4 linked regions of the Drosophila melanogaster genome follow. The protein of the gene in region 1 interacts with the protein of each later gene in a pairwise test. Each region holds a gene or a part of one and is shown on either strand. Other genes may lie near its edges. The genes, in order: CG8813, Lim3, CG9624 and CG7856.

Region 1 (7,236 bases):
GTACCTATTTATATAGTTAAATATCCGAATTGGTATTTATAGGCTCATCATACAATCATTTACAAATATTAAATTTAAAAATAAAGAAGCGGAAGTTGTGGCTCTTCGGGGAACTTTCCTCGCATCTAAGTATATACCTCATGGGTGACCTAAAAACTTACGCAACTTTGTGTTATGCATTAGTCGCTCTCAAAACACAGATGGTTTACTCGCCCGAATCTAATCCAAACAACTTTCAAGCAAAACCAGCTGTTTTCCACTGCTTTTGATTCGTTTTTCTAGCCCGCAGTTACCGCATGCTTTTGTGTTTGTAGTTTGCTCGCAGCTTTTGTGAAAGGCAAAACAAAAAAAAAAAAAACACAAAAAACGAGGCGGAAACTACCTTGCCCCAAATAGAAAGCTGAAAACAGGCACTGGGAAATCGCCACAATGAAAGTTGTGCTCTACGACGGGTTTTCTTCGACGCAGTTGGCCAGCAAACAAAGTGAAACATCGAAAGATGGATAGAAAACTTGTTGCACAACATTTGCGGCTCCCGAGCTGTTTTTCTTGAAGGTCATTGCTGTGTGGCAAAGCGTGTAATTGAATTTCTAATTTCAGTACATATACATTTCCCCATCTAAATGAGCACACAAGCAATTGAATGAAAAGCTGCTCGAAGACGGCAAAACTTGATGCCTCTTTTCAGCTGGTTTGACAGTTACTGAAGGGAAATGTGGGCACTTGCATGAGGGTGGTCCCAATATTTTACTCCATTTAACAAGGAATACAAATGGGGTTCTGAAAATAGAATAATCATTACATTGGTATTCACTGAGTTTCCATTTGCAAAATGCTTAGCTTACATTCCAATGGGTTCGTTGAATGCCTAAAATGTGCAATTAAGCATATTGTTCAAAACGATAGCTGTTGAAAAAGGCTCACAGGTCGCATTAGCATAATAAATATTTATGAATTATGCTTGAAAAACTCGCTGAGTATAGCAAAATACTTCAAAAAAAAACCTTATTAATTACCCAAATGATTTCTTTTTCAGGCCGCACCAATGACTCCAATTCTGAGGACGAGTCCTTTGACAATGTGAGCGTTTACTCTCATATGTCCGAAGTCGCATCCTCGGAGGCCACCGACGAGCTGGCCAATGAGCGTTTCGAGGAGAAGTTCGAGAAGGCCCTGGAACAGGCCACCGAGAAGTCGGCCCAGACACGTGTGCAGGCTCTGCAAGCGATTTGCGAACTGCTCATGCACCGCTACATGCCGGACTTCGTGGAGGACCGCAAGATGACCCTGATGGATTTCGTGGAGAAGAGCATCCGTCGAGGCAAGGGCCAGGAGCAGGTGTGGGGCGCACGACTCGCGCCCCTGCTGGTGCTCCAAATGGGCGGGGATGAAGGCATATCCAAGGCGATGAATCAATTCCTGTTGAACACCGTTCAGGACAAGTCCGTGGGCTTCGATGCCCGTGCCAAGTGCTGCACAGCTGTGGGATTGTTGAGCTTCCTGGGCTGCGAGGATGTTGGGGAGTTGGTACACCTGATGCAGAGCTTCGAGGCCATCTTCGCAGGCAGTTATTTGCGTGGCGATGACAAGACACCGGTATCCGTCACCGCCGAAGCTGGGACTTTCCATGCGGAGGCCTTGAACGCCTGGGGGCTTCTACTAACACTTATACCTTCGGGGGATTTTGTTTCGTTGATGACCACTGGCCAAAACATGTTTCCGTAAGTTTGAAGAGCAAGTTCCATTTAACTTTCAAACCCATTGCTATAATTGTTTAAACTAAACTTTGCAGATCTATTAAGAAGTTCTTGGGTCTCTTGCAATCTACACATTTGGACGTCCGCATGGCCGCTGGCGAGACCATTGCTTTAATTCTGGAGTCGGGACGTGCTCACGAAGAGGATTTCCTAGAAGATGACATCGCTGAGTTATCGGAGGCCGTCAAGCAGCTGGCCACGGATTCGCATAAGTACCGCGCCAAGCGCGATCGCAAGGCCCAGCGTGCCACCTTCCGTGATGTGCTGCGATACCTGGAGGTGAGTTGAAGATTTGCACGAGTGCTACGCTTAAACAATAGGGATTACATTTATTTATTTGACTCGAGATGCACTAGTCTTTGGACGATTACTTCATGTCAGTGCAAGTGAACTTGAGCTCGTGCTTGCAGTACTTGGCCAAGCACTTGGAGTGATCGTGCAACTTGTTGCGCATGATGACGCAGCCGTTCCGGCTTATCGAGTCCATGTACTCGCTGAAGGTCGGCACCTTCCGGTATGTGGTCGGGGCGGAGTTCCAGTGCGAACTGCTGCCGGATTCGATGGTCTGCGAGGAGTCCGAGAAGCTGGTCTTGAATGGCTTGTAGTTCTTTTGGCACTCGTCGCTAGACATCTCGTAGCCAGCGGACGCCTCCCGCTCCAGTTCGTTCATCACGTTCGAGCGGAACTCGTTGCAGGGTCCACGTTCGCTCATCAGCTTGTTGGCGTTCTTGGACTCGTCCTCCGTCTTTAGGCTCTCATAAATACCCTCCGGGTACTCGTTCATGTTACAGTAATCGATCTGATAGGTGGTGTTCATACGGTTGGTCTCCAGCCTGCGGCTCAGCTCCTCCTTGGGCATGACCTTCAGGCGTTCATACAGATCCGGGTAGACTGTACGTAAGATCTTGAGAAAGCGGTTGGGTTGCAGCTTAAAGCAATCTGTTTCCGCGGAGAAGGCCATCTTGTCCACCTGGTCCTGAGTCAGCTGGGTGGGTATGATACGCGGATCCACCAGCTTTCCCATTGGCGCTATGCCCGTCCACTCGACGCCGCCACAGTCCTTAGACGCGTTCGGCGGCATCATGATCTTGGACTCGTCGACGCATTCGCACTCCTTGACCTGCGGACCACTGTGAGCCTCGGCGCCCCTGGGCCGCGTTAGAAACTCGTACCGTTTGGCACTGGGCGGGACATAGTCGTGCTGATAGGTTGATAGCATCATCTTGATAACGAAATCTACAAAACTAATTGGCCAAAACAATTTTTTTTAGTAGTTTTTTTTTTTTTAACGAGAAATTTGGTCTGTTTGATCTGATAGAGAAACTAATAGTGATACATTTCAAAATCGTACGAAATGAGATTAGAATATTTGCTCGTAGCCTAGCCTGATTTTAAAGTTTTTTTTATCTCGTTGCAGGAGGACATTTCCCCAGAGATTAGCATTCGTTTCGGTACCGAGTCGCTGACACTAGATTCCTGGTCCATCCATCATCAGTATTCGGCCATGTGCACTGTCATGGGTCCCGGGATGACCTCGCAGCTGCAGGAGAACGAGTTCATCCGTGACATCTTCCAGCTGGGACCACGACCCACGAACACAGGCATCAATGGAAACGCCAAGGTCAAGCCGACCAAGCTGGAGCGGGTAAGTTGATTGAAATGTGTTAACATTCGCTTCAAATTTTAATATATTTATATTTGTTGCTTTTGCAGCACCTTGTGAATGCTGCTGCATTCAAGGCACGCTCCATAACACGTGGAAAGAATCGTGACAAGCGATCGGCCGTCGTCACTTAAACCTGTGCTTCACCCACCAACCGTTCCCATCCACAGACACCCAAACCAACCATCTCAAACCCCGTTAGCCAACTCTGGACTTACTAGTTGAATTGTTTCTAATTTTAGCTTGAACCAGGCAAAGCGTCGCCAAAGCTGAAGAACTAAGTCTAAATTTAGGATAATTCAGTGTAATCTACAAAATTTCTCTAGTTTATTAACCACATGTTGGAGCCATTGTTTGAATATTATGAAATATTTATTGCGTGCACGCACAGTGGTTGTTTATCAGTAAGTGCATGGCTGGCTCCAGCTTGGATCTTATTCTTTGTGAATTTAAATTAACACTGCGATTGTTACGACTGGCATTTACGCTTTGCGATTTGGGTTAACCTCTTTTGTTGTTGATCTTTTTAAATTACAAGCGTAGGAAAACATAGTCTGCTTTAATGCTGCGAAAAAGTTATTCATAACTTGACATGGCTTTTAATACGCATAATAAGCGGCTCTATGAATACATATATTTTGTAGTAAATAAGTGTAAAATAAAGTTTAGGCTTAAACGAAAACTACTTGAAATGCATTCTTACTGGTGGGGATACAACAATGGACTCCTTTTTAGAAAACACTTAAAAAACAGTTTGCGTTTTATAAATTGTATTTTATTTGTTAGTTTTATCACAAAAATTGTATGGTAACTTAAATTGTATGTTGGATTCTTTCCTTTTGTGGATTTTGTTTTGTTTTTCTTTGCTTTGACAAATTTTGTGTAGTAACTACAATAAAATTTATATATATATATTATATATGTTCGTGTGTATGTATATATGGGCGCAGCTTATACAAATCAGTTTCTTAAGGAGTAAACTTAAAGGTTAATAAGAAACGTATTTCCATCAAGTACAAATTAAAAACTTGTTTGCTTAATTTAATATTCGCCAAGTACTCGTGTTTTGCTTGCTTCTTGTTTGCATCCATGGATGAAACCGATAATGAAATGAAGGAAATCAAAATGCTTTCATAATTTAGGTGTAAATAAAAGAAAACTATAAACTATAAATCAGCATGGGGACTGACTCACTGGCGCATCTAAGCACTATCTTCTCGCTTATTCGCTCTTCAGGCTACTTGGCAACGCGTTCGTAATCATAATCTCAGGATGTTCTCGTTTCTGTTTCCGTTTCCGTTTCGCTTTCGCAATTGATACTGACCTACACTTATTCTACGTAATATTTGGCTTCTTGTAATACACTTTGCTTCTGGAAATCTGCATGATAATTTGAGAGACGAAATTCACTCGTTAATCGAAACGCTTTTCGCTACTCTTCTTGTCTACTCGCTAGAGATTTAAACCTATGTACACGGTTGAGGATAGAAAGGCGGGTGCTAGGACCCACCTCGCGTGTGATGTGTAAACTAATAATTGAGCATTGAGCAAAACCTGTGCAAAACGCATGCTAAACTAGGTAAGTAAGTAAGTAATGTTTTGTCTGTGGGGGTTCAGCTGATGTGTGTGGTAGCCTCTTAGGACGCAGCTCCCGCCCGAACCGCCTCTGCGGAGGTGCTGGCGCTGACCTCCTCGCAAATGGTGTGCAACTTCTCCATCTCCGAGCTGGTCACGATGTTGATTGAGCTAACTTTGGCCCGCTGATAGGCCACCACGGTGTTCTCGCCCAAACACTTGACGCACACATAGCCAATGAGCACGGCGATGCCCACTGTCATCACGCGCACCAGCGGATCAACGTACATTTGGATCACCACCCAGGCGGTGGCACCGGTTACGCACATCAAGGTGATCAATATAACCGTCTTGGACCAATGCTGAATGGTGAAGCCCTTGTCCCATTCGAGTCTGTAATAGAGTGTCGTGTTATCAGTTATTTACCATCAGTTATAAAATGGTCTAACTGATAGCTATGTGGCGGTGACCCATTTCCCTATTTGCAAATGGCACTTACTTTTTGGACTTTTCGATCTCGTAGGGATGTCCGCAGACCTTGCACGACAACTGCGCCTCCGAATTGCTGCAGCTCTCCACCAGCCAGCGCTTGAGACACTCGTGGTGCACCGAACTTACGTCGCCAGTGCAGCGGCAGGGCTGGATGAGGGGCTCTGGCTTGTCGGAGTCGTAACAGATCCAGCAATCCTTTTTGGTTAAAAACGACTGGCCCTCTTCGGGCGAGAGCTTGTTGGTCTCCGCATTTAGAGTGGGTATCGACGGATCAATTTGGCGGGATAGAAGCTTGCGAGGATTTAGAATCCAGAGCTGTTCAGGAGCCATCGAGTTCCAAAGGCAGCAGGGAAACCAGAGAGCCACACCGATCTCGGCGATGCGAAAAATGATGTCATGCCAGTTGCGCGAGTTAACTGGAACCCTTTGTGGTGGCGAAAAGAAAAGCTTTTTGTCAAATTGGCAGCTGCAAAACTAATTAAAAGCCTCTACTCACTTGGTCTTCCAGAAGTCGCCCAAAGTTTCGGAAGTCAGAAAGCCCACAATCACGATTAGCATCACGGCCTGAAACAGCAGTCCGAATCGCGACTGATGCAATTGTGAGGCATTCACAATTGCCTCGCTGGGACCGAGAATCTTGCCCGTCTGGTCGTAAACGAAACCGCCGCGCAGCTTAAAGAACACTTCCACGCCGTAGATGAGGAAGAAGACCACCACGATCAGGAGTAATACTGCATAGCATCCGTTGAAGATGTGGGCGTAGTCGCGACGCTCCGCGTTGATCAGCGAGTTGAAGACCTCTATGCCAAACAGGCTGTACAGAAAGAAGTTGAAGGCCACGAAGCCGAGGAAGCTCTTCGACAGAAACTGCGACTTCTCCCAGCGGATGTCGCGCAGGTGAAAGATCTGCAATGGCGAACGTAGCAAATGTGAATGAGTACCCACGCCGATTTGGTTACCACTAAAAGTCGCCCGCAGTTACTATTTATATTCCAGATCAAGTGCTAATATACGTATGTACACTCGCCACCCAGCTTAATTACTTGTGTCAGCCTATCGGGAGGCCCCAAGATAAGTTGTGCCAAACACAATAAAATTGGCTCGAGTACAATTGCACTCGACTCGTTATCGCGCATCTGTTAGATACGAAATATGGCAAGTACAATTGGACGCACTTTGCTCGATAATGGAATTCACATCCCAGTACTGAAAGTTCTCAGGGTTCGGGTGCGATCAAATACGACTACGTCAGGCTGTCGTTCAATCGCCATATTTAAGTTAGTGGTGGACTCGTGACTTGAAATACTGCCTATAAGTTCTAACTTATCACCAAAATTTATAAGAGTTTGTAGCACCGCGGAAACGTTATCTGTATCTTAAGTGTTAAAGACGCTTAGGGATGAGAATAAAATGAAATATTGCAGGTCTTGCTTACATATAGTACTACTGGACAAAAGCTATTCGATGCAATTGAAGAGGTATATTATTATGTAATATTTGCAGATAGTAACGTTTACTTGTTTACAACCTTATCTTTTGCTCATGACTGTCATAGTCCTAATTGATACCATTAAGATTTCATTTTCAAAAGTACACAATTAAGCGAAATTTTCTATTCTCATTTATCCTTCCTTAAATATCTAGCTTATCGTGGACTCACCTCGGCCCACATGCAGACAATTAGCGAGGCGCAGGTCATGAGCAATGGATAGTAGGCGGACATCAGGGTGACAGCCCATTGTGGCTGCA
Region 2 (8,955 bases), about 16 Mb from region 1:
AGGGTTTTCAGGGGTTCCAGGGGTTCCATGGGTTCGAAAGAAGCACCGCAAGCGCATAATTCAATTTTTCTGCTCGTTTTGCACATCGCCCGGCACACGTCACTCGAGTCCTTTGGGACACCGACGAACTGCCATGCTACACCAGCTAAGCCCAGCCCAGCTACACTGCGAGAAAAGTACACAACTACACTGCAACAAAAGAGCAGTAAATGAAACATGAAGGTTAGAAACAAGATTCAACATTACTAAAACTTCCAGTTTCATGAAGTGTGTAGTCAACCAGAACTCCAATCCTTTCCCTTGAAATGTGCCCAGATTTAATCATGATTAAAGTTCAGGTTGGTTAAGGTGTTTAAGATATCATACTGATATTATAATAATATATTATACTAAGAATACCTTAGATTTTCCGTTCCGCTTCAAATTGGACCTCTACCAAAAACGGGATAAGTCATTCCCGACTTACTGGATTTTTCCAAAGTGCACGCACTTTGTCAGGGATGCAGTGGATATTAGTGACACGTGGCGAAGGCTCGACCAAGGCGATCCGCAGGTCCCAGCACATGCGGTTTCCCGGATCCGTCCCCCCCCCCCCTCCTTTCCACCCAGGAATCTATATTTATTTGTTTGTAATTACGCGTGTTCTAAAAACGAAATCCCGCCGCACTTGAAGCCGGGAAAATGGCTAAACGGCTGAGCCTGCTCTTTTCAATGCCCGAAAACTTCGGCCGGGAACACACGTGCAGTGGACGACCGCCTCCACTGGTGACCGGGTATTCCCAGCGCATTAGCAACAATGCCGGAGACATTTGGAGTTTGTCAACAGTTTCGCATTGGATTTGGTTACGGCTTTGTTCTCATCAGCGGCGCGTGTCCCTGTCCGATGTCATCTTCTCCACTCTCGACGCGACTCAACGCGACTCGACGCGACTCGACTCGACTCCAATCCGCAGTCAGTTGTCAACTTTCTGGGCTGGCTTTTAGTCCGGGGATTGCCGATTGATTTGGCGTGGGATTTTCGAGTGCGGCACATGTATGAAACGAAATCATAAATGTGACAGGCCTGGATCATAAGCAACTCGCACAAAGAAATCCCTTTGACCATCCTTGAGCCATCTCAAGCAGCAATAAATCATCTCCTTCGGAGCCATTCACCATGCATATATCCTCAAAGAAAACTTTCTGCCGGAACTTTGCCAGTTATATATATTGCAGGAAGTCCCCTCGGACCATACATTTATTCCGTGGCGGAGTGCATAAAAAAGCAGGCGGTCCAACCGAGCAGCCGCAACACTGAGCCCTCCTAAAAGGGCATTCGAAATGAGCTGCTCGGAGATGTGGAGATGTGGAGATGTGAAGATGGTGGTCTGCCACCGGGAAAGCTTTCGTATTTAATTGAAAAACACTTAAGCCCCAGTTCGGAGGAGCCAAAGCCAAAGCCAGGCCAACCGCAAGGCTCTTATGTGACCCTAAAAGACCGACCTCATAACCCCAACTCATCTTCATCACAAGACCTTTCTGGTCGCTCATAAAAACAAAGGGCGAGCGCAAACAAAAACTTTGCATAATTAAGGCGCGGCCAACACATGGGCAAAGTGTATTCAAAGGGTTAACTTACAGCAGAAGTGAAATATACGGTTTTAACATGAAAACTGTATTCTCAATATTTACTAAAGCAAAATTAAGAAACCACGATATTTTTTAATGTAAATACGACTATTCTCTCTTTCATTTCAAAAATTGATAAATTGATAAATAAAATTCAAAAATGTAATCTAAGTTTGAAAACCAAACATTTTAATAATATACTATTCTTGGCAAACATTTTTGTTCACTGTGCAGGAAAATCTCCTAGGCAGCCTTCAGATGGACAGGACTGAATCAAAGATGGCATGACTTGGCCACTTACCCTCGAGCGCCCGGTTCCTGGAAATTAAGGCGAGCACCAGTTCGGGATTTGGGTCATCCTGGTCGACAGCCAGGTGATTGTGGTGCGGATGTTGCTGCTGCTGTTGCTGCCCACCGACCAGGTGAGATGCCTGCGGCGTGGGTGGCAATTGTTGCTGCTGCTGCTGCTGCTGATGGATATGCGGCTGATGTTGCTGGTGATTATCCATGGCTGACAGGTGCTGTTGCTGCTGCAACGGATGTTGCAGCTGCTGATGCGGATGTGGCTGCTGCTGAGGCGGATGCTGGAGCTGGTGCTGATGCTGGTGGTGATGATGTAGCGGTGGCGGTGGTTTCAGGGTTTGCATCATTGCTGAGGGGCCGGCGATTTGAACACGCGTCGTATGAGTTATATGTATATTTCAGTTAGCTTATTCCAATTGGCACACGTTTGTATCTTTAGCCCTGTTTGGTGTTTAAAAAGCAATCTTTGTGTTAGTTTACCGCACTCGTTTCCCGTTTAGCGTCTAAACGAGACTCCGCTAGGCGGGATCGCTGTCTGCTCGATAACTGGCATTGGTTTGTGCCCAACAGTGGCCCGGTTGACTGTTTTTCCCTTATCGCGGCGGTCTCTTTGGGTTTCGGTTTCTACGGTAGAATCTAGATTCCAGTCTTGCCACTCGGTTGGGCTCGTGCTCAGTGCTCGGCTGCTCTATCAGTTGAAGTAGCCAGGGACTTGAACAATTTGAATTTGTTTGCGATACCGGGGCACACTAGACCATCTATTGTTCGGGTGCTTTCGACCAAGTGCAAGGCGGGTAAACTTTATGTAAGCCGAGGATAGGGCCAAACTGATCGGTAGATATTCAAAAGACCGTTTGGCGCATATCTATTCATCGTCTATCACGAGGAGAATTCTCGTGCGAAGACAACAAATCGGATGTGCACTATACTATCTATCAAAAAACGGTCAATGTCCAAGGTTTTTTTATCAAAAACGAACTGCTAATGGTTCCCAAATCAAACAAAATAGTTAAAAAAAATTTTTGTGAAATATTATAACGTAGAATATTTGATAGCAAATATCCATTTAATAGTTTATCAGTATTTGAAAACTAGTTAAGATTGAAGATAATTTATTTTATAGAAATTCAAACAAACAAAATAGGTAAACAATTTATTTTTTGTGAAATATTAAAACGTAGAATAATTAATCGGAAATTTCCATTTAATAGTTCTTCAGTATTTGGAAACTAGTTAAGATTGAAGATCATATATAAATGAAACAAAATACTATGAAATTTATTTTATAGAAATTTAATTTTAGGAGCAAAGCTCCTAAGATTAAATTGAAATTAAAATGGCTAACATCGGGAGTTGGAAATCGCACATTAATCTTATTTTGATTGCCTTAAATCTTAAAACAAACAAAATCCAATCGTGTTAGTATTAAAATTCATATACTAAACATTTTAAAATCCTAAACGTATCTTGGTTTTGTAACTCTTCTCAACACAATTTGCTCAATAGACTTTTTTGTTTTAAGGATCTACTGTTAAAATGTAACATTCCATTTTTTAATCAAGCTGGCTTTCTTTTCAATAGTTCCTCAGAATTTTAGCCTTTTTATTGAGCCTTTCGTTATGCGACGGAATCGTAAAACCAGTGGAAATGATTTGCATTTACCCTATTAAAATTTTTTGCGTCACTTTAACACTCAACTCTAGTATTTGTTAACTTTGTTAATTATTGGCTGGTTTTTAATTTTCTTATTTCAACATTTCGTATTATTTCGTTTGAATTTTCTGCGGCACTTGAACGCGATTTTATGCGAACGCCATTTTGGCGACGGCATCGGCAACTTTAACGGTAACGGTAACGGATTCGGCAGCGAAAACGACGACGGCAAATGCGAAGCCAGTGCGACAAAATGGCGGCGGCATGGCTAACGGTGTTTGCCCAACGGTAAGGTAACGGTCTGGAAACGGTAACGGTGTCGGTAACGGTACGGCGGCAACCCTGGACGCGGCAACACTGGCAGGCGGCTGGTATTGTTGCTGGTGGGAATCCCCTCTATTTGCCGCGCTGCATCTTTATTTATTTTCTTGGCCGTCCAAACTGTCGTCTCTCCTTTTTACTTTGCGCACTTTTTCACGCTTTTTCTCGACTGTGCGAGCTTTTAACGCTGTTGTTTTTTTTTTTTTTTTTTTTTGTTTTTTGCCTTTCGTCTTGTATTCGTGTGCCGTTTGCCGTTTGCCTTTTGGCCGCCCACATGGGTACGCCGTGCGTATACGTACTATCTGTGGGTGTGTGCGGGTGTGCGGGCGTGTGTTTACCAATTGATCCTAATGTGACACAAATGATATGGTAAAATGCATACAGCCAGCCCTGAATGGCAGGACAACAATGGCAACAAGGCGGCGAGGCGACAACGCCAGCAGCGACAACATTTTTGTGCTTCTTTTTGGAGGCCGTGCGCATGTGTGTGTCGCTCTCTGGCGATGCCCATTTGCCCGAAAAGTCCAAATTCCAAGAGCATTACAATATTTGTAAAACGCAAAAACTTTAGCCTCGTCGAAAAAAGAAGGTGTGGAAACTTTTTTTTGTTTCCCTCTGCCTCAAGAAGCTTGAGCTGCAAAAGTGCAGGGGCAAAAAAAAAATGAAAAAAGGAAAACAGCACAGTGGGTAGAACAAAAAGCCAACCAACGTCGAGCGCGACACCTTCGTTGGCCCCAAAACAACAGTAAACAGCACTTAAAAGTCAGCAGCGACGTCGACTGAGGCGAAACAAATATGAGAAACTTAACTCAAAGGTCCAAGTCAATACGCGGCGCGCGGTCACCAAAAATGCGGGGTCTCCACTGGAAAACAGGCACCGCCCCTTTATATTGAAAATCGCTGGAAATCGGCCGACGATAGAGTCCAAAAGCAACAAGAACTTCCAGGCATGCGCAGGCAGTGGCCATTATCTTATCGCCCCAGCGTCGCCATTAAAATGGGGCTGGGGTGGCCATACGCTTCTATTCCTAGAGTTCGATGTCGTTCCAGCGCCGGCGCACTCGAAAACCCAAAGCTGGCAGGGTGATGGGAGAGGGGGGAAGTTGCTACTCCATGCCCGAGTCACCCGTTGCCCATGAGTTCGCTGTATCTGCATAGGATTCTCGCTGTCTGTGTAGTTTCGGAACCCCTATATCTATAGTGGATACTTGCCACCCGTCCCGAAAACCCCTTAAATGCGTTGCGTCTGCAAAAACGATTTTGTTTTCGCATTTATTTATGAGCCGCTTAGAGCGCGCCAAATACTTTGCCAAACACTTTGAACCCCAACGCCATGCTCGAGAACCCCACGCCCCCGCTCCCAACGGATGACCTCCGCCCACCCACCGAAGTGGACACTAGCAGGGAAGGTCGTTTGTGGGTTGGGTTCCGCGCTGCGGCGGAGCAAGGAACGCGAACAGCTGGAGTGCGTGGGTCGCTCGAAAAGTATGCCCGGTCTGAGAAAGTCTGCATAAAATGCCAGATACAAAGTACGTATAAATATTAGAAAAAAACATGATTCCATCTTATGCTGTAAAATGTATTACTTCATACTTATACTAAGACTTTTGTATCATCATCATTTACAGCTTGCCTGTAATATATATTGGATACTATTACACAGAAGCTAAACTATAAACTGTATAAACTATATTACATATTTCCTTTATTAAACATTCAGCATTTTCTTATTGGGCTTTCGTTACGCGTGCGGAACAACACGAAAACACGGCATACCCTTGAACCCAACTAGTACCGATTATAAAAAAATATAGGGTAAGAGCATAAAAATGCAGCGTGACCCTGAAACTGAAACTGATCGTGAATGGAAATGGAAATGGAAATGGCTGATGAAACCGATGCACTCAATCCAACGCGATCCCAATCTATGGCATCCCAGGCGGAGCTTCACTTCCGCGGTTACCAAATCGACTTTGACTTTCAAATTTTCCAACGCTTTTGTCGCAGACGTCTGTCTAATGGAGCCGTTAATGGTTAGACACATGAAGTATTTTGCCAAATGGGCTCGACTTGGGACGGTTAATTGCTGATGATGTGATGATATGGAACCGGATCGGCAGTGGGTTTTGGGGGGGATGGCGGAGATTTAGTAAGCAGCAGTGCTAGTGTTTGGATAACACATTTTAATAGACAATTAACAAGCAGTTTGTTTAAATTTTCTTCACCGACATTTTTAACTTTTGTCCGGCGATCTTGTTTTCGCTATTGTGTCTTTTGGTAGTTACATAAACATAAATCTCGGCAATGGGCCAGTCAGAAAGACAAAAAACTTGCTGCCACTGCACATTTTCACACATAGCCGGATTTTTGTTAACGTTGTTGGAGTTCCCCCCCAAACTTTTTATTGGAGGGTCTCGAGATTCGGAGCTCATTGAGACTTGGTTAAAGCGCAGCCAGCTCATTTGTAGATTCGAATGTCAGCGGTGAACAAGTGCGGAACCAGCGGAGCGGCTAAATACCCAAATTCCCCCCCAAAGTAAATCGCGCCTTTTTTTTTGGATTAACCAGGATCATGGACTTTGATGAGTTCCGTGAATTTGGCCATGCCTCCATCGAGTTCCTTATCAACTATCTGAGCGGCATACGTGAGAGGTGTGTGTCTGGACTTTTATCCTTGGAGCGATGCCTCTAAATTCTGTGTTTCTTCCAACAGGGATGTCCTGCCCAGCACGGCTCCATATGCGGTGATCAATCAGCTGCCCAAGGAGATTCCCGAGCAGCCCGATCATTGGCGCGAGGTCCTCAAGGATCTGGAGAACATCATCCTGCCGGGTCTGACCCACTGGCAATCGCCCTACTTCAATGCCTTCTATCCGTCATCCTCGTCGGCGGGCTCCATCATCGGTGAGCTGCTGATCGCGGGCATCGGAGTCCTTGGATTCAGTTGGGTAAGCTATATACATATGTAAATGGTGAAAAAATCCAGCAGATTCTCCTTTTTTTAAATGAATATTCATATTAAATACGTGCGTGAATGTGAATGAATTAATGTGGAAGAACAATCATAAGCAACTTTCTTCATTGTGTTTTCTTAGAAAAATGATATAAAAAAAAAGGTCAGTTAAAACTTAAATTTCATATAATTACTTAAAAAAACTAATTGTATCTGAAAAGTGTTGCCATGATAATTAAATTCGGATAAATATAGCGAATATACACGTTTGATTAGCTTATGATCGTTATATATTAAAAACTATTAATACTGAACTTTTTTACTTTTTATTGTGATAAAGAGACAAATTTGAAAGAGTTTCATTTTAAGAGCCTTAAATTATTCACACGTGAATTTACAATTATTGTTCATTAGAGTCAACAACAATAACAACCAACAATAATCAATTGGTTTTAAAACTATAATTTCTGTCATCAATTTGCCTAAGAGAGAGGGGCTAAGAGAGCGCCAACCGACCAACAAAAAAGTGGGAACAGTTTGTGACCCAAAGTGATTTCCCACCAGCTATTGTTCGAGTGTCGTTGGTAACAAAATCTTTTGGCCAAATCAACGCAACACTTGAGAAATCCTTATCGATTCAAAGAACTATGCGATAAATATGCTCAGGAGATAGGCACTCAACGATTAAGAAAATTGCCAAGTAATTGTTTTTCTATAAATATATGGCACGAAATATACGAACCCAACTATAATCCCGGTGACCGATTCGTTCCCTAATCTCGCAGATTGGACACGCTTCACAAATCACTGTGCAGAGCAATCGGATATAGGTATTTTCGAAATTAATAGCTAAATTGAAAAAAAAAGTATTTGAATGGCACTCTCGTATAAAAGAATAAACCTATTACTATATACCCCTTTGTGTAAGTAGTATAAAATAGTACACACTCCTTTCTATAAACTTTCAACAGTATTTTAATGTTTTGATTATGTTAATTGAACAAACTTCGCATTTGAATTTTAAAGTATCAACGAATCAAAGCTAAATTAGTTAGATCAAAAGAATAAAACAAGTCAGTTGCGCCGGTTTTTAATGATTTCTCAAAACTAGCCAGATTGGCTGAACCGACAGCTCTGGAGGCTGTCCAGAGAAGTCGGAGTATAAAAGGCAGCCGTCACCGGCGATCGGTTTCAGAGTGAACCTCAGGCAACTTGGAGGAGCATCAACGGATCGGGAACTGAAATCGAGTTGGGCAAACAAATCAAAAACGAAAACGGGGAAATAAAACCAAAACAAACAGAACGTAAAAAGTGCAAATAGAAAACGATATCGCAACATTGTCAGCGGTATGGATGCCAAGGAGTTTCGGGAATTCGGCAAGGCCGCCATTGACTACATAGCCGACTATCTGGAGAATATTCGGGATGACGACGTACTGCCCAATGTGGAGCCAGGCTATCTGTTGGACCTGCTGCCCACAGAGATGCCGGAAGAGCCCGAAGCGTGGAAGGATGTCCTCGGCGACATTAGTCGCGTCATCAAGCCGGGACTGACCCACTGGCAGTCGCCTCACATGCATGCCTACTACCCCACCAGCACCTCGTATCCCTCCATTGTGGGCGAGATGCTGGCCAGCGGGTTCGGCGTCATCGGATTCAGCTGGGTATGTTGGTTTATGGTGAAATCTGCTGCTGCTGCTGCTGCTGCTTCTGGCCCATTGTTTTGGCCGGCTGAATGGGCGCTCATTGTGCGCGGTGGGTGAAAGTGAATCCAAGAACTCGACAAACAGGTTGCCACTGCACCGGACCGAAGAGAGTTGTTCACACAAATCAATCGGCAATTGTCACCAAATAAAAGTTATTGGGCAGCAGACTCACCTTAAAGGCATACAAATAAATTTAAATGTATATAGAATTGATTAGCCAAACCCAAACTAGACGTTTCGCAAACAATATTTGTCATTGCGAACAAAGAAGTTACCACCGAACAAAAACTTAGTGAAATAAACCCTAGTTTAAATTATAATATATTTGTAAAAATTACTATATGTATGTATTCCGGATTTAATAGTGTATTACAAACGGATGGAGTTATCTTCAATGCATAATTTCTTACA
Region 3 (7,259 bases), on another chromosome or scaffold:
AGACGATCCGATGGAATGCCTTGCGATGCAGACAAAATGCGCAAATTGGTTTCACTTGACAGGGCAAGCGTGAAAACGATGTTGTACTAGTCCTGCTCGACGCTTTTCCCGCTCGACTTGAGCCGGAAAACTTGGCCCAAGTTGCGGCAAACTTTGTGACCGTTTTGCACACGTTGCGCATTCGCCGCGTACGCCGACGCGCCCACATGGCGTATGACAAATGTGCCCTCAGCTGATTCGCAAATCGCTGGGCACGACACTAGCCATTAGAATAGATTAGAGCATCTGGGGATTTGGGACAAACCTGGTAAGCAGCACTCAGCACCCAAGGTGTTTGCAATTGCTTTGTCAGCCTCCACTATTATTGCGGTCTGTTTGCGCTGCCCTCTGGTGTCATAATAATTAAATGGAATTAATGCCTGGCCGGCCAGAAATTCATCACTCCAACCATCTATTGCTGCTATTGCTACACTGCGAAAAATGTATTGGCTTTGATGCCCTTTTATGATTTAATAAGCATATATTTATGATGCAATCTTAATAATGTTTCTTGGAATCAAGTTTAAACGAAAATCATGTTCTCTTTAGTTATAGTAAGATATTCTTTAGATTAGAAAGTTGAAAGGTCTTGTTTATGGGACAGTTTTTTCTCGGTGTTGTGGTGCGTGCCGCATTCGCTTTGTTATTTGAGGTGGCAGACTCATTTGTAAGCCAGTCCAGGTTCCCAGACCGAGGGAATCTCTTGAGGTGCCTTGAGCCAGCGCTTTGTTCGTAGGTTTTGTTTTGCTTATGAATACCCGGCCTTGAACTGAAATAAAGAAGCTGTCGTCCGACTTTCACTTCACTCGCACAATATGAATGTGGGTGTTTTCGGAAAATGTTCAAGGAACCATTCCATACATGTCCAACTACCCACGCAAATGTGTACGAATTTATGTTCTTAGTCCGCTGCCCAATTTTCGGATCAAAATAACAATAATTGAATATTTAAGTTGCTACTTTGAAATATATATTTATCAACACCTGACAAAAAACAGATTTTAAATAATAAATATTCTTTTTTATTGGTGCTGTCAAAACGGAGGATTGCGAAACAAAAGAAATTCTGCGCATATTATATTTTCACAATTTTAAAACTTTCCCAATTGTAAAATAATAGTCAATTTCGTTTTCTTATGAGCTGCTATAGCTAACAACTTGCATAAAAGATATCAACGACGAGAACATTGCACCAGTGTTTTTCGATGATTGATGGATGAACAGCACTGCATCAATCATATTTTTTTCACACTCTAGTGATAATTTAATTCATATTCAATAGTCTGATGGTGGCAAGTTTAAAAAGTCCCTTTACTTGCCTTCATATTCAAGCATTCCCTTTTGAGACGCTGAATTCCGCGTATCTATTTTTCTGGCAAAAAAATTCTGTAAGGCTTTTATTTATGTAGAGAACCTCAAACCGCAGAACGGGTTCAAAGTGCATCTACTGGAAGTTCCTGTGGCCTTTTCTCTGCGGTGTGCCAACTCAAATGCATAGCCAAAAAAAAAAAAATAATAAAAAAAATGACTCCAGTTTTACGCTCGAGTTTTGTGTATATTTTCCGTTTGATGTTGGGGCTGCTTTTCCATTTGTCGAATGCTTAAAGCCATTTGAAAATGATTGGCTTTTATGTCAATAAGCGTCTCAGTTGTCCTTACTTGTTTCAGTTTTTCTTTTGCATGGCTTTTTCCTTGACTTTTTTTAATACAGCTGACTTCGCTTTTTCTTTCGGTTTTTGCTCTCGCGGTTTTCTCTTACAGTCTGACGCTTAAGTGCCCCAATAAAACACAATAAATATACACATAAATTTTTATACACATCCCGCATATAGAGGACAACTTTTTTTTGTGGCCAGAGAGCTGGAAAAAGTCGTCGCGTTTTGATAGATGAAACGAAATAAAAAGTAAAACAAATACGGTGTTTTTAGCTCCCGGTCACTTATGGCTTTAAATTTTCCAGCGAAAGCAAAATTAAATTTTGAAAATTAGAAGGCAACTAAGGCTAACCGGATGCGATAAATCATCGTGGTAAAATTAAAATCGTGGGTTCGAATCAAAATTTCGCACTGGCGCTGAATATTAAAACAATAAGTGTTTGAACATCGAGGCGTAAAATAGGCATTCGTCACTCGGTTTTCGGTGCACCGACATAAATCTAAATTCAAACCTTTTGTGGATTGGATTTTTGCTAGGTGCCTTCGATTTGTAAGCCCACTGATTGTGTTCAACGTGGCACGAACAATTGATTTATGAAAATTTATTGCTCACATGCGGAGGACCAAAAACCAGGCGCCCGAGCGCCCTGCGATAGGCAACACTTTGTGTTTGAAATTAAAGCTGCCACGCCGCGAGCAATAAAAGCAAAGCCATAAAAGCTAATGAGCCCGAAAACTCGTCACCGTTGTCACAGCCATTTCCCCTTCGGATCTGCCACGCCCTCCTTAAACTAATATATATGTATGTATGTTCGAACTGGGGCATAATGAAAATCGCGGCCATCTTGTTGCGCCTGCATTCCGTCATAAAATCCTGTTTCACCTCACTGTTTCAGCTCATAAAATAATGGCGATCGTCGGCTACCGTGAATATACGGCATGGAATGTCGTAAAATTTACGCAAATTGTTGTTGCCGATTCCCGATGAGAATACTTACTTACCGTTATTGCCTGTGAGTGCGCATAAATTTGGCAACAAATGCAAACAAACAAGTTTAGCTATAGAAAAATGTGGGAGGGCTTTGTTATTAGGGGGCGTGCCAGTAGCTGATTTATTTCGCTGATAGGAAGGGATGTGCTTTCACTGCTGCGAATTTTTTGAAAAAAGATAATAAGCATATATACATTTTATAAATTTTAATTCTTATTTTAAGCTACGAAACTAAAGACTCTGTAAACATGTTAATATACGTAAAAATCTGTTGAAATAATGTATATTAAGTTTTGGGCTGAAATTAAGAAATCCAAATATTTCTAGGTGTATTTTAATGTAGATGCCAGCAGATTTGTGTCACCCTATTAAGCATTTGATAGCGAGGCAACGGAAATTCTGCCATAGACACACATTTGCTAGCCAGGCCAAATTACATGAATAGAAATTCCAAGTACCCAAAATGAATACCTCCGAAGTCAAACGAACGCTGGGTAGCCCCTTCTTCGACGTGCTATGGCCATTGATCCTGGACGAGAATGTCTGTCGCATCGAGACCAAGCCGGACGAATTCTTTGTGCCCCGGCAGCCCTTCAATCGACTGGATTGGCATATCTATCTGTCCCAGGTGGGCTTTCCTTTCTACATGCCGCCACATGAGCTGCGCTGCTGCAAAGGAGCCCAAAGGGAGGAGATCGAGAACGAGGATGCTGAGAATGCCTTAAACCAGGAGGTGGAGGAGCGAACGGCGTCGAATCAGGTGGACTTTCTGCGCCATGGATCCCGGGACATTAGACCCATAGATGAGGTGGTAAACAAACTGAGGATGGAGCAGGAGCGTCGCCAGAAGTTGGCGTACGACTTTGCCAATCGGCGCTATCCTTGGACCATGCAAACTCCCAGTCACGAACTGGGCTTCACCATCACTGAGGAGCTGCAGAAGTGCTTCAAGGGACCCATGGAGCTGGACATCTTGAGGGCCATTCATGATCACGACTGCAAGCTAATGATTATCGATCTGGGCACTGATGTGGACATTAAGGACTGCCAGCGCTGGATAAAGTTTCGTCCATATATTCAGTTACTGGCATTGCCTCGAACACCTCGCATGGAACGATCGCTTCAGGTGCTCAATGTCTTCCACACGTATTTGGTGGAAGAATCGGCTGATAACTCATGGCACGATGAGGTGCAATACTCCCTTCGCACAGCTTTTGTGCACGCACAGAAAAATCAGCTCCTTAAGTCCTGCGGAGAGCCATTTGTCTTCGTATTTAGTCGTTTTCGTGGCATCTGCACCTGCGATACCTATAAGATAATCCGACGGGCATAGAACAAATTCTTTCAATTAATTTCCATCAGCAGTTATTAGCAAATGCCAACTGAAGTTGCTATAGACAAGTAATTATTTATTGCTTTTAAAAAAATTTCAAAATGTAAAAAAAATCTCAAGTTTACACAAGATTATATATATTACATGCAATAAATCGAATTTAAACATCATAACATCTGTTTTAGCCCAGTTTAATACTTATTCACGTCGCCTAATTTGATACGACTTGATTTGCTCCGCCCGGCCGTTCAAGCCATCATGTTGAAGTGGCGCCCGAACAGGAACCGCTTCAATTAGGCCGCCCAATTGGAGCTGCCTTCAAGTGCAGTCAGACGCACGCTACCTGCCACTTGCCACCCGATTATTGACGCAGGCGGAAGCCTGCACCACCATTTTCCGATGTGTTGTCAAAGTGCCTCCGCTAAGTTGGCAGACTTGAGCCCACGGCACAATTCACAACAAGTTTGTTTGCGAAAAAGAAACGAAATCGAAAAATTTCGCACCAAATCTCAACAAATTATTACAAAGCTTAACAAACTTGAAACTGATTATAAAAGTTGCCGGCAGGCAGTTGGGGCAAATTGGGGGACCGGCGGCCACAATGCAGCAAAATTGAGTTGCGGGTATCGTGAAGTTAGGAGCACTTCCCCTCATTCTCTACGGGCTTCCTTTTTGTTTTGTTGGAAAAAGTTTTTTTTGGCCAAATGCGTTGTCGCTATAAACGTCGACCCACAAACATAATTTTCAATAGAAATTCACATAAGCCACCTTGCCACGCCTGATAATAGCTTTGAGCAAAACTTACGCGATTTTTAAGAGGAGCCGCCACAGATCTTGAAAATGTAAAAAGTCAGTAGAAGTATAGAAAAATAAATTTAAAAAGTAATACTTTTCTTATCAGTTCGTAAATGTTTCTTATAGCATCAAAAACAAATTGCCCAAACAAATAAGATAAATTAAAGAGTACTTGTGCTTTAAAAGCCAATGCTAGCTGTTTAAATTTTAAATTGCTGTCAGGCGTAAACTAAGCCACAAAAAGTTGTGTTTTACAACAGTTCTCGATTGATACTGAACAGTTTTTTGCTATAAAAATTGAGCAAGATCAGAAAAAGAGAAGAAAATATTTCTTCAGTTAGCTACGAGCATATCATATATATACGAGTACATACAGTGGGTTTGTAAAACAAGTCACATGTTTACTTAGATGGGGATTTTTCTCTCAACAGTAGCTCCTCTGTTAAATAGTTCCGTGGAGAACCAGGTTCTTAAATAGCTGTTAGTTAGTTGAATGATTAAAAATAGTACTAAGCCGAAGACTTGATATGGCTGGGAATAACCAGTGATCACTCAATGGGGGTGCTCCGCAATCTGGCGAGAGATCAGCTGTTACATGGAGAGGGAGTGCATCGATAGTCGCTTGTGGATTCCGATTTCGATCCCAGTTCTCATTCAGTTCCATTCAGCATTGGTTGTTACCGTCGCAATGACAATCTTGTGGCTGACCTTGCTGGGCCTTTGTCTCAATCTGAAACTCGGGTCGGCGTTGCACGTGCCGCAGCATAATTGTGAGAGGTATTTCTCCTACTACAAAGAGGACAGTGGAGCCTACATTGGCGTCTTCACGGCGCCACGCGCTGGTGTGAACAGCCTATCATGGGAGGTGGTTTTCACTGCTCACGGAACTGGTGAGGTAAAGCCCTAACAAATTACATATATATTTGTTTATTTCAACTGATTCAACATTCTGATATCCCCCCATGCAGGCAAACACTGTGGGCTCACTCATTCCGTATCCCAATAAGGAAAGGGCCTTTGAAAAGATACACAGCGGAGAACGTGGCGAGGTGTTTGTGCGTTTCACGGATTTTGGAAACGAGCTGCCCAAACTTGTCCGGGCGGAATTCAACGGCGAGGTTCTGTGTCAAAATGAGGAGTGTGAGTAATAATAAAACTAGATAGAATATCTTTAGTTAAATTACTTTGAAATAATTATTGTTACCCTAAAGATATTCTATATAGTAGATGATCTCATATAGTTGATGATAATTTTCTCATATCTTTCTTTTTACTTTGTGCAGATGATGCCCCTTCAAGCACAATGACCCGACGCCAGTCCATGTCCACCTCAACGCCAATTAGTCAAAAGTCAGCACCAAGAGAAATAGTGCGTCAGCGGCGTCCGCCGCCGAGCACACCGAGCAATGACCCCAATCCTTTCCTTCCTTCAATCATGCCCAGAATAGATTCGGACTTTGAGGAATGCGGCGTTGAGGGCTTTTCGCCTCTTCAAATCGGAGGCGACCTGGTGACCCGCGGTCAGTACCCCTGGCTCGCGGCCCTTTACGAAGGTGTTGGCACGGCTACATACAAATGCGTGGTGTCGGTTATCTCCAAACGGACTGTGATCACGGCAGCTCACTGCATTTATGGAAAGAGCGCCAGCCAGCTTTGGGTCTATTTGGGCAGGCATGATCGCAACGAGAATCCTGAGAATGGAGCCTCCCTGGTTAGCGTGACCAGCGTGCTGACTCCGTCCGCCTACGAGGGCAATCCAGTTCCGGATGCGGACGTTGGTCTGCTGGTGCTGACCTCTCCGATGGTGTACACCAAGTACATTCGACCCCTCTGCCTTTGGGGCTCCAATATGGGATTGCCACCGAATGAGGGCGATACTGGAGCAGTAGCCGGTTGGGGCTACGACAGGAGTGCCCAGAAGACGCGGTTTCCCAAGACAGTGAGTGTTCGATTGGTGCCCCGGGATCAGTGTCTCAAGGAGATGAAGCGGGCGGAGGACTTCATCACGCGGCGGACCGTCTGTGCCGGCAATTCAGAATCACATGGTCCCTGCTTCGGAGACTCGGGATCTGCTCTGATCGTCCTGCGTAACAATCGATGGTACGTTCGTGGTGTGGTCTCTTTATCGCCTCGCCACGGAGAGATTTGCGACCTTAGCAAGTATGTTATCTATTGCGATGTTGCACGGCACATTGACTGGGTACGTCAAAATATGGTCATGTGAGGCGCTGAAATAATTATAATGTGACAATACAGGAAAACACGGAAATTTATGTACAAAATTCTCAATAAATCTTTAAGTCGTATAATAGATTACCTTTTCCTAGTCGGTGGATTTCCCAAGCATGCATTGGTGCCAACAATCTATTAAGTGTATACTTTGCGCTAAAATAAAACCCTTGCTTTAAGCCTATGACTTAAAGTGCAGATGTTTGCAATCATTGAT
Region 4 (8,706 bases), on another chromosome or scaffold:
CCGCTCCAGTCAGCTGTGTCGATGGGAGCAAGACAAGGCATAATCAGGATATTAAATAAGCGAAGCAGATAAGCGTAGGAAGCGACGCGCACGATTCAATCTGACGAGCCGTCAATTCCTGACACCCGACACATGCTCAATGAAGGTTGAGGCTCTCACGCGTGCACTGTCTGCCAAGCCGCTCGAGTTTTGTCCAGGAGGCAGGACTCACCTGTCTTCTAAGAAGACATAACTCATTTGCTGCCTTTTATCCTCTGAGCGATAATATGCACGCTTTGACGCTTGATAAATGATATCTGACGGCCGCGCAATCATCGACTGTGATTGTTTGAATGGGCTACTAATGCTGTAAATTTGAATGAATCTGGAATGGCCGAATGATTTATTGAAGGCCCTAATTCACTCATGCATTTGCTAGTGTTGTCACATCGGAATCAACTAGTTAAGGTCGAGTGATAATAAATTTTTGATTGACGACACGGTGAAGGTTAGTCAAACAAGAAAAGTTGCTCCTCAGAATACAGATGGGCCATGGTCCCATCTTGTATTTGCCCAGGGCAGGTGAACCTGGTCGGAAAGCAGAGTTTCTCATTCCAGCTTAAGTACCCGTACCCGATGTGGACTAACAAGCCAGTTGTCCTTCTCTTGGTTTCATTCATTCGGCCTCCTGTGCCGGGAGTTTGACTGGACTCGTTTATCATAAAATCGTTCTCAGTTCTTACTTTTTCAATCCTGCTGGACCTGCCTGGACACGGACAACAGCTCGCCATAAATAATCCCGAGAAGCGGTTCAAGAAAGACCTTTGTATCGTGTATCTTTCATTCTTTTTTGTGTCTCACGCATTGGTCCCACCTCTTTCGGACCAACATTGTGCGATTCGCATGCTCCAATTTAGTTAGCAAATAATGCGATTCCAAGGAAAATGAAAAAATTAAGTAAGGCAACAAATGATTAATTTGCATAACGGTTCTAATTTAAATTCGATGTTTCCGAGGAGACCAAGGGTGCCCCATTGTGTGGAATAGCTTTATTTCCATCACGTGTAGCTAAATGTGGTTGCTTCGCCGAAACTTACTAGCCGGCATTTTTTCTCTTCTGTTGGAATTTAATTTATTTTGGGCTGATCAAAAGTGACTTAAGCTAAGTGACTTAGGCTAAGCCACAAACCGCAACCGGCTGTCTAACTGCTCAAATGACAAAACAGCTTTTGAATGGGGGGGAAATAAAAATGAAAGCTACATGTTTATATTAGATAAAACACTCTAAAGTACTCGACCGAAATCGTAATACAAATTGATATACATATTTTGTATAAACTTAGGTGCTACTATGATCTTGATAGAATAGAAAGACATGCTCGCATCCAACTTGAATAACCCGTGAGACTTTTATAGTAAAAATTACCTGATCGCAATTGACACTTTCTGCTGCAGTTAGCTACTAGACCTTGCCCAGTCCAATAATTAAGAATTCATATTCTAACAGCCAAAACGTCTTGTCAAAGTACACATAAATACTCATAGATACTGCCGAATATGTAAGGAAAACACTGAAGATGATTAAGTAAGATTCCGCATCTGAGCAATGATCGCTACCGTCATCATGGCCATTAGAAGATCTGACATTAAGCAACGCAATTTCCCATAAACAGTATACCGTAAACAACTCGGGGCACGGACATGGATGTCTGGGCGAGAAAGCAAATATTTACAAAACACTGCATTCTGATCGGGCTGAGTCCTGGCCAAATGGCTGGCGTGGACCACATGAAATCAATTAAAATATTTAGCCAACTGCTTCCAGCACATAAAAATGCGTTGAGGGGGGAACGTGGACCTGATAATAAAAAGTAATTGAAAGTGGCCGCGAGATGCGACCATAAAAACTGTGTTTTCGCCGCGTGGCAACATGTAGATATGTACGTATAAATACGTATTGATATATCTAGAGAGGGCTGAAAGCATGAACTGCTGACTTCGGGAAATAACAGCGATAATTGAAAATTATCCAAATAATAAAAGTAGGCCCCTGTTTATTTCGGAACCAATCACGCGCCAAGGGAAACCAAAACAAAGTAAATGCAAAACGCTTCAATCAGAACGCGCCCAGTGAATCGTGGACGGGAGATTCTGATTCTCGAGGGAGCACTGTTGGCACTGCTGCCACAGCTGTCCATCACATTGTCGATGGAATGCTCACTAGTCCCCAACGAAAGTGAAAATTAATTAAAATACTGAACGGTTTGGGTTTCTCGCCCGTTCTTTCCTCTATGAAAGTGCCAGTCCGCATATTTTTGGTTTTCCTTATTTCCATGGTGAAGCCAGCTGAGCTGAGAGCGCGGAATCCAAATATTTGCCAAATAATTAATCATGCCACTTTGCGGCCCAAAATCTCTGACAGATCAGCGCGAAACGCCTTCGTCAGTACCAGTCCCCCCACGCCAAGCCAGCCTGCCTGCAAGCCACTGATAAAGACGCGCGGGATGCTTAGCGCCCATGTCTCGTTGACTGATGGCCGCACCAGGCCCACGATTCGTTTTGAATATCTCGCAAAACGTGGTGCAGGTGGGAGCCGGGCCACTGCTTTTGCACTGAGAGTTTAGTGCGCCGATTGGTCATCACTTCTAAATTAGCCTAATCAATTTTCACCCACGCAGCTGTTCCTGCCGCATATCCACTCCCAAAACGGACTGCTGCTCATAAATCAGTTTATTTTCGCCAGTCAGCGAGCCTTTGAAGGCGTAAGAGTTTCGCGGGTGGGCATGTACAAGAACTCGCTGTCCGTCCAGAAATCCACCAGTGAACGCTGTTGCGGCCGGGCGTCCAGGTGCGCGAAGCACGTGGCGAAGAGCTGGCCCTGCCTGACGTGACGCATATGCCCGGCCGCCACCTCCGACATGAATTTGTCCACCGAGGAATCCTGACCACGGCTCCCACGCTCCGGCACCGCTCGTAGGCGCAGCGTGTGCGTCTCGGTGGTGTTCACGTCGACGAGCACGGTGGAGGTGGCCTGCCGGTTGTAGACACTACGGTTTGGCACGTTGTCCACAAAAACGTCGAAGTGGTCTACGCTGTCAAGGTCATGGGTGATCCAATGCAACGACAGCGAGCCTCCGCTCAGCCTGCACGCTCCACAGATGCTCACCGGGTAACTGAGACGCGCTGATGGAGGACGTCGTTTTCCATGCAGATCGGACTGAGCCTGTCGGCGCACTTCTGACGCTACGCATAGGTCCATGAAGAAGTTCTTGGCCAGTAGCTTCGCCTCTAGCCGCTTCTGTCCCTCGGGAGATTTGAAAAAGTCGGACCTCTTGACCGCCCGACGCATGTCCTGGCAATGGTGGCAATTGCAATCCTTTTGGTATGTCTCGCACTTGGAGGAGGCATCCTCGACACCGGCACTACTTTCTTCAGGCTGACTGTTCCCCGCCTCCTCAGGGCTGACCAGAGCGAAGGCGTACTCTACATTGTCGGGGGTGTCCTCGCTCTTTTGAAGGGGGCTCTCTAAGGCGTTTGCCCGAGAACCTCGACTTCGGCTTCTGGGTGAACTCCGGCGGTAGCTCTTTCTTGATAGGTTTGATCGGGCGGTGGTTTCTTTCCTGGACTTGGGCGCTTTAGCCAAGTCCGCTCTTGAATTAGAGGTGGCCGAGATTTTGGCAGTTACGTTGGGTAATGGACTTTGCTTCCGCCTCAGGCTCGATTTGCTCGATCGCCGTGATCCCTCAGAAGAGTTAGGCCCAGATGAACTAACCATTGCAAATATGGGTTCCATTGCAGGTGCTGACTGCTTATTTCGAGGTGACATCTTGGGCGACTTTCTGGGTGAACTAGAGCGCGAGGTCTTAAGTTTCTGGCGAAAAGATTTGCTGCTAAAGCGATTTCTGGAAGTAGGACGTCCTTGTGTGTCCGCTATCTTCTCCTGATCGGTAGAAATCTTCGAGGGACTGTTGTCGAATCCGCTTCCCAAAGGATTCTCCGACGAGCTCGCCAAATTGCATGTCACACTGTTCAATGCGGTGTTTGCGGAAGTGTCTGTTCGGTAGTCAGCCTCCTCAGTGAGACCCACTGGCGTGTAGCCAGTCAAAGGGGTGATGTCAGAGAGGAGGTTGGAAAGGTCGTAGTTCGTGTTATTGAATGAGCAGTTGGAGAAATGTGAGGTGGGCGTTATCTGGGAGGTGCTGGGCACAGTAGTGCGGGTGGGCGAGTCCGTCAGAAGCGTATCATTGGACTTGCTCATATAGGGATTTTCCTCATCTACCGCCTGGGAGCAGGAGGATGTCAACGAACGCTTGGAATTTGGCACAGAACCGCTGCGTTTGATGAACTTGTGAAAGAGATGTTTTACAGATGTGAAGGACTCTCCTGCCCTGACAAGGCCCACTGTGTTCTTAAGGAACATCCTGATCGAGGTGGAGGTCGAATCGAAGTTAACTGTATCACGAGAGTTTGAGGATCCACCTTGAAGCAAGGCACTGCTGTCCAGGGCTGCCGTATCTTCGGTTACTGACAACCTCGCCGCGGAGTGCTCCTTATTTCGTTGGTTAAGGGAACTGTTGCTGGTCGTGCTGGTGTTGTTCCGCTGACCCGAGGTAAGCGAGCTTTGGCTGCTCTCCGGGTTGACAACCACGAACACTGGCGGTGCGGGTTGCGTCCGAGCGCTTGATCCACTTTTAATGGAACTTTTGAGTGTGCGGCTGGGCATCGGGTTCCTCCTGCTGCCTGACGGAGCCGCAGGTATTTCGTCGGGCAACATGATGCTCACCCTCTTGGACATACTTATAATTTACGGAAGAGAGATTTGTGGTATCTTCTACGATTGCGAAATAAGTGTATCTATCGAAATATTAAGTGTGTAGGCTTTTCCCAAACTGCCAACTGACGCCAAGGCAACTTTACCTACCCTGTTGTCACCAGGAGTGTGCCCCTTTTATACAATGCAAAAGCGGGGCTCGCATTCAATCATCTTTAATGACGACTAATGGCTGGACCCGCGGGCGAGGTCAGGATGTCCATCCATGACTTGACTTTGTCGCCGGAAGTTGGTAGCCGAGAGACTGGCCCGCGATTGCGCATAATTTTGTCAATGTTCGGAGCATTCGGTGGGCGGGGCAAATTTGCATAACTCGCGGACCTTTCAGCTCGCATTAAATATGGCCAAGGCTAGCGTACGGGGTCCTCAAGGCCCCCTAGTTATATTTGACTCTAATTAGAGCTGCAGGGGAAATAATGAGTTGGCGTTGAGCGTTGGGTCGTGCCGTCGTGATAGGCCGTGAATTTAACAGAGTTTGAGGTGCACCTTTAAGCTCGCTTTTCTTTGAGGCTTATTATTCGGCTTGGCTGCTCATAAAAGAAGCAAATGATTAACCGACACGCCGCATTGCACATACGCCTCGTCGCCAGAGCTACAACCAGGGCACGCAAGTGTATTAAATTATTTTTGCTTTATGATTTATCTAACACGAAATACAACGGAACGCCATACCCTGTCTCTCTGGGCTACGTTTCGTTTCCAAAATCAAAAGCTCTTGCACAAGTCAAAAAAAGGAGAATCGCATTTTTTTCTCACCTTTATTTGTATATTGAGTCACTGTGCTGTAGAAGCAGTAATACATCGCTGGTGATAACATATAATATCTGGCTTTGCCTTTTGCTAAGCGGTTGCTCGCAACGGGGCATCCAAGACATCCCCTGCTCGGAACTGACTGCGGGTGGCAAATGCTTATTTCACCCGTGTCCCGACATTTGAAATTGCTTAACGGCTGGTTTTTATCTAGCACATACCAAATTCAGCTCGTACAACAACGCTAAATCATGAAAAAATGTTATTCCTAGGCCAAATGGCTGCCTCAGATGCGTTTTACAGTCACATCGCCGAATTTTAATACAAATAAAAAAAACTCTAATGGAATAAACGAAGGTCAAATAAAAAATATTGTGTATAATTGATTGAGGTCAATTGACGACATTAAGGCGCGTGTCTGGTCAGTCAAGTTTAATCATTTCTCTTGTTGATGGCTGTTGCCTGCCCAGTGATCCCATGGGATGGCCTCTTAAATGAAATGGCTTGTCTACGGCTAGGACTAAGCGGAAAATTTAACTTTTCCGCTTTCGCTCGTGAAAAACCTATCCAAAAGTTTGATACAGGAAAGAAAAAGTTTCCTGATTTAGAAAAAAGACTGACATATTCTTTGTTGTTGCCAGCAGCTATTTGACGTTTTCGGACTCTTTTTTTAGTTGACTCGCGAAGTGCATTTATAGTGGACAAGATGAATAAGTCAAGAAAAGAGCAGATTTTACCTTTAAGCCAAAACAGTTGATCTTTCAAAACCTAACCCTTTTAAATATGTTAAGTTGAGCGGGTGATAAAATTAAAAGGTTAAGACCCCAACGATTAAATGTGCTTAACCATGTGTTACAATTTTTCTACTCCAATTCTCCCCAAGACATGTGTTAAGACTTTTGAGCCTGGGCAAGAGTTCTATTTGCCGAAAATTACCCATGCCTCGGCAAAAGAGATTGGCATCGGCAAGGCCACGGATAAAACGCAATACACAACCTGAAAAGAAGATGGCGCCGATAAGTCGAAGCTTAGATACCCTTGCAATAAACACAAATATGTGTATTTAAAGCAAGAGAGAACGCTGTAGTCGACTTCCTCGACTATCAGATATCCGTTACTCAGACAGTAGGAATGGTCCTGCTGGCTAAATCATAACTTTCTAGCTTTTTTTATCCCGAGATCACAGCGTTCATATGGACGGAAAATGGAACATGGGACGATATGTGTATAATCATAACATTATATGTTATATGATTTATATGTTTCCAATTTACTACGTTGTAAACTTCTGACAGAGTACCCTCTGCAATATATGGTGCAATATATGCATGACCTCCGGTCATAGCTGATGCATTATTTAGATTCAAATTAATTTTGCGGATTCAGCATGTGCAAGGTGATTTCCCGTAAATAAGTGATTTAATGTCGCTCGAATGCACCACCTCGTCAGCAGCTGAAGCGCCTGACTCCACAAAGCTCCCGGGAATGCACTTTCACTTAGCCTGGTTGATTAGATTTTCCAGAAATAGTCTCACGAGCTGAAACTTGATGGAATTTCATTTGGCGAATGGGCTCCCATTCCGCACGCACTCGTAGGCCACAATCAAAATAAATAAATAACGAAAAAGAAATCAATGGCAGCTCACCAAAAGGCAACGATAGCTAGTATCGAATCGAAGCGAAATTGAAACAGCATCGGGACAACACCCTCGCAAGCTGACAGCAGCCCAGATAAACCCGCCTTAGAGTCTGTCTTAGTCGGGCGTCAGGCTCAGCGCTGCTTTCTTTTTAGGGGATAAACGCATTTGATTGCGACTTGAAAGTATTGGCTTCCGCACGAATGTTTTCGTATTAGTGGGATTGCGGGTCTAGAAACGGCAACTGAGCGTGAAAGATAATCACTGTCGAAGGGTAGGAGGGAGGGCCACAAATAATTGGATGTTTGAAAGACTCTGATTGCCGCACAGCAGATAGTGGCCGGGGGAATATTTCGAAATTTATGATTATTGGCGTTGTAAATTCGTGTTAAATGCACACATGGTCAGCGATTGCATGTTAAGGAGATTCTTTATTATGCCGATACGCACTTAGGCTTTACACGATGTACACGACACGGTTCAGCCTCAGATGCCGAGTCATAAATTCTTTTTACCCACCCCGTTACACACGCTGCGTATGCGTGTTATTTATGCGCTTCATAGGTAATGCATTTGCCTGCGTAGATAAGCCGCAGCGCAGCGTGTGCTTTACGAACAGGCAAATGCACACCGATTACAGTTTAACTGAATTAGTCTGAACTGACGGAACCACTCTCTCTCTCTCTCTTTTCTCTTCCTATCTCACTTTCTCCCCTAACAGCTTCCGGCGCCAACTGTCGAAAGTCATGCAGAAGCTGACGGGCAACCGCCCCAGCGAGCTCAGTGGTCACGGCCAAACACAATGTGCAAAATAAAACAAGAGCCCGTGGGAACACCAGTAGCAACATCATCGACATAAGCACGGAGGACCAGGCAGAACCGGCAGCTTTCGGCTCTCGGCTTTCGACGGACGGACGGCAGCAGACCCACGGAAACGGAAGTGGGCAAAGCGAGGCCATAAAACGCCACGCATAGAAACACCATTGAGACATCTTGCCCAGGAGCAGCTCCCTCCTCCCCACATGTACGCCTCCTTGATGGACGTTGGCCAGACGTTGGCAGCCAGGCTGGCGGATAGCGACGGCAACGGGGCCAATGACAGCGGACTCCTGGCAACCGGACAAGGTCTGGAGCAGGAGCAGGAGGGTCTGGCACTGGATATGGGCCACAATGCCAGCGCCGACGGCGGAATAGTACCGTATGTGCCCGTGCTGGACCGCCCGGAGACGTACATTGTCACCGTGCTGTACACGCTCATCTTCATTGTGGGAGTTTTGGGCAACGGCACGCTGGTCATCATCTTCTTTCGCCACCGCTCCATGCGCAACATACCCAACACGTAAGTGGATATATCACGCACTGTGGGGGTCCCGCAGAAGGTGGGGAAGTAGGCAGGGGGCCCTGGAATAACATCTATTGAAGGTCTTCCGCTTTGATACAGGCAGTTTCTTGGGGACCGCCCTCTCCGGGCCATAAATAATAATGTCTTTATATTATACGGTCGCACAT

What was found.
Region 2: the proteins of CG8813 (region 1) and Lim3 interact in a two-hybrid assay, tested with the Drosophila melanogaster proteins (one large-scale study listed by BioGRID).
Region 3: the proteins of CG8813 (region 1) and CG9624 interact in a two-hybrid assay, tested with the Drosophila melanogaster proteins (one large-scale study listed by BioGRID).
Region 4: the proteins of CG8813 (region 1) and CG7856 interact in a two-hybrid assay, tested with the Drosophila melanogaster proteins (one large-scale study listed by BioGRID).

What each region holds. Positions count from the first base shown.
Region 1 is NT_033779.5:2,865,489-2,872,724, reverse strand, and holds CG8813 (uncharacterized protein), read right to left. Parts: upstream 3,074-7,236; 5' UTR 2,980-3,073; coding exon 2,125-2,979; 3' UTR 2,076-2,124; downstream 1-2,075. Other genes in the region: Ifrd1 (Interferon-related developmental regulator 1), read left to right, coding at 1,037-1,721, 1,793-2,036, 3,175-3,402, 3,471-3,554; CG2991 (uncharacterized protein), read right to left, coding at 5,058-5,388, 5,495-5,911, 5,984-6,393, 7,148-7,236.
Region 2 is NT_033779.5:19,103,814-19,112,768, forward strand, and holds the start of Lim3 (Lim3), read right to left. Parts: upstream 4,615-8,955; 5' UTR 3,574-4,614; intron 2,463-3,573; exon of another isoform or gene 2,353-2,462; 5' UTR 2,259-2,352; coding exon 1,910-2,258; intron 1-1,909. Other genes in the region: amd (alpha methyl dopa-resistant), read left to right, coding at 8,188-8,502.
Region 3 is NT_033777.3:14,224,959-14,232,217, reverse strand, and holds CG9624 (uncharacterized protein), read left to right. Parts: upstream 1-3,072; 5' UTR 3,073-3,148; coding exon 3,149-4,018; 3' UTR 4,019-4,200; downstream 4,201-7,259. Other genes in the region: CG9631 (uncharacterized protein), read left to right, coding at 5,502-5,708, 5,782-5,953, 6,097-7,037.
Region 4 is NT_033778.4:6,054,662-6,063,367, forward strand, and holds CG7856 (uncharacterized protein), read right to left. Parts: upstream 4,898-8,706; 5' UTR 4,775-4,897; coding exon 2,723-4,774; 3' UTR 2,696-2,722; downstream 1-2,695. Other genes in the region: CCHa2-R (CCHamide-2 receptor), read left to right, coding at 8,220-8,536.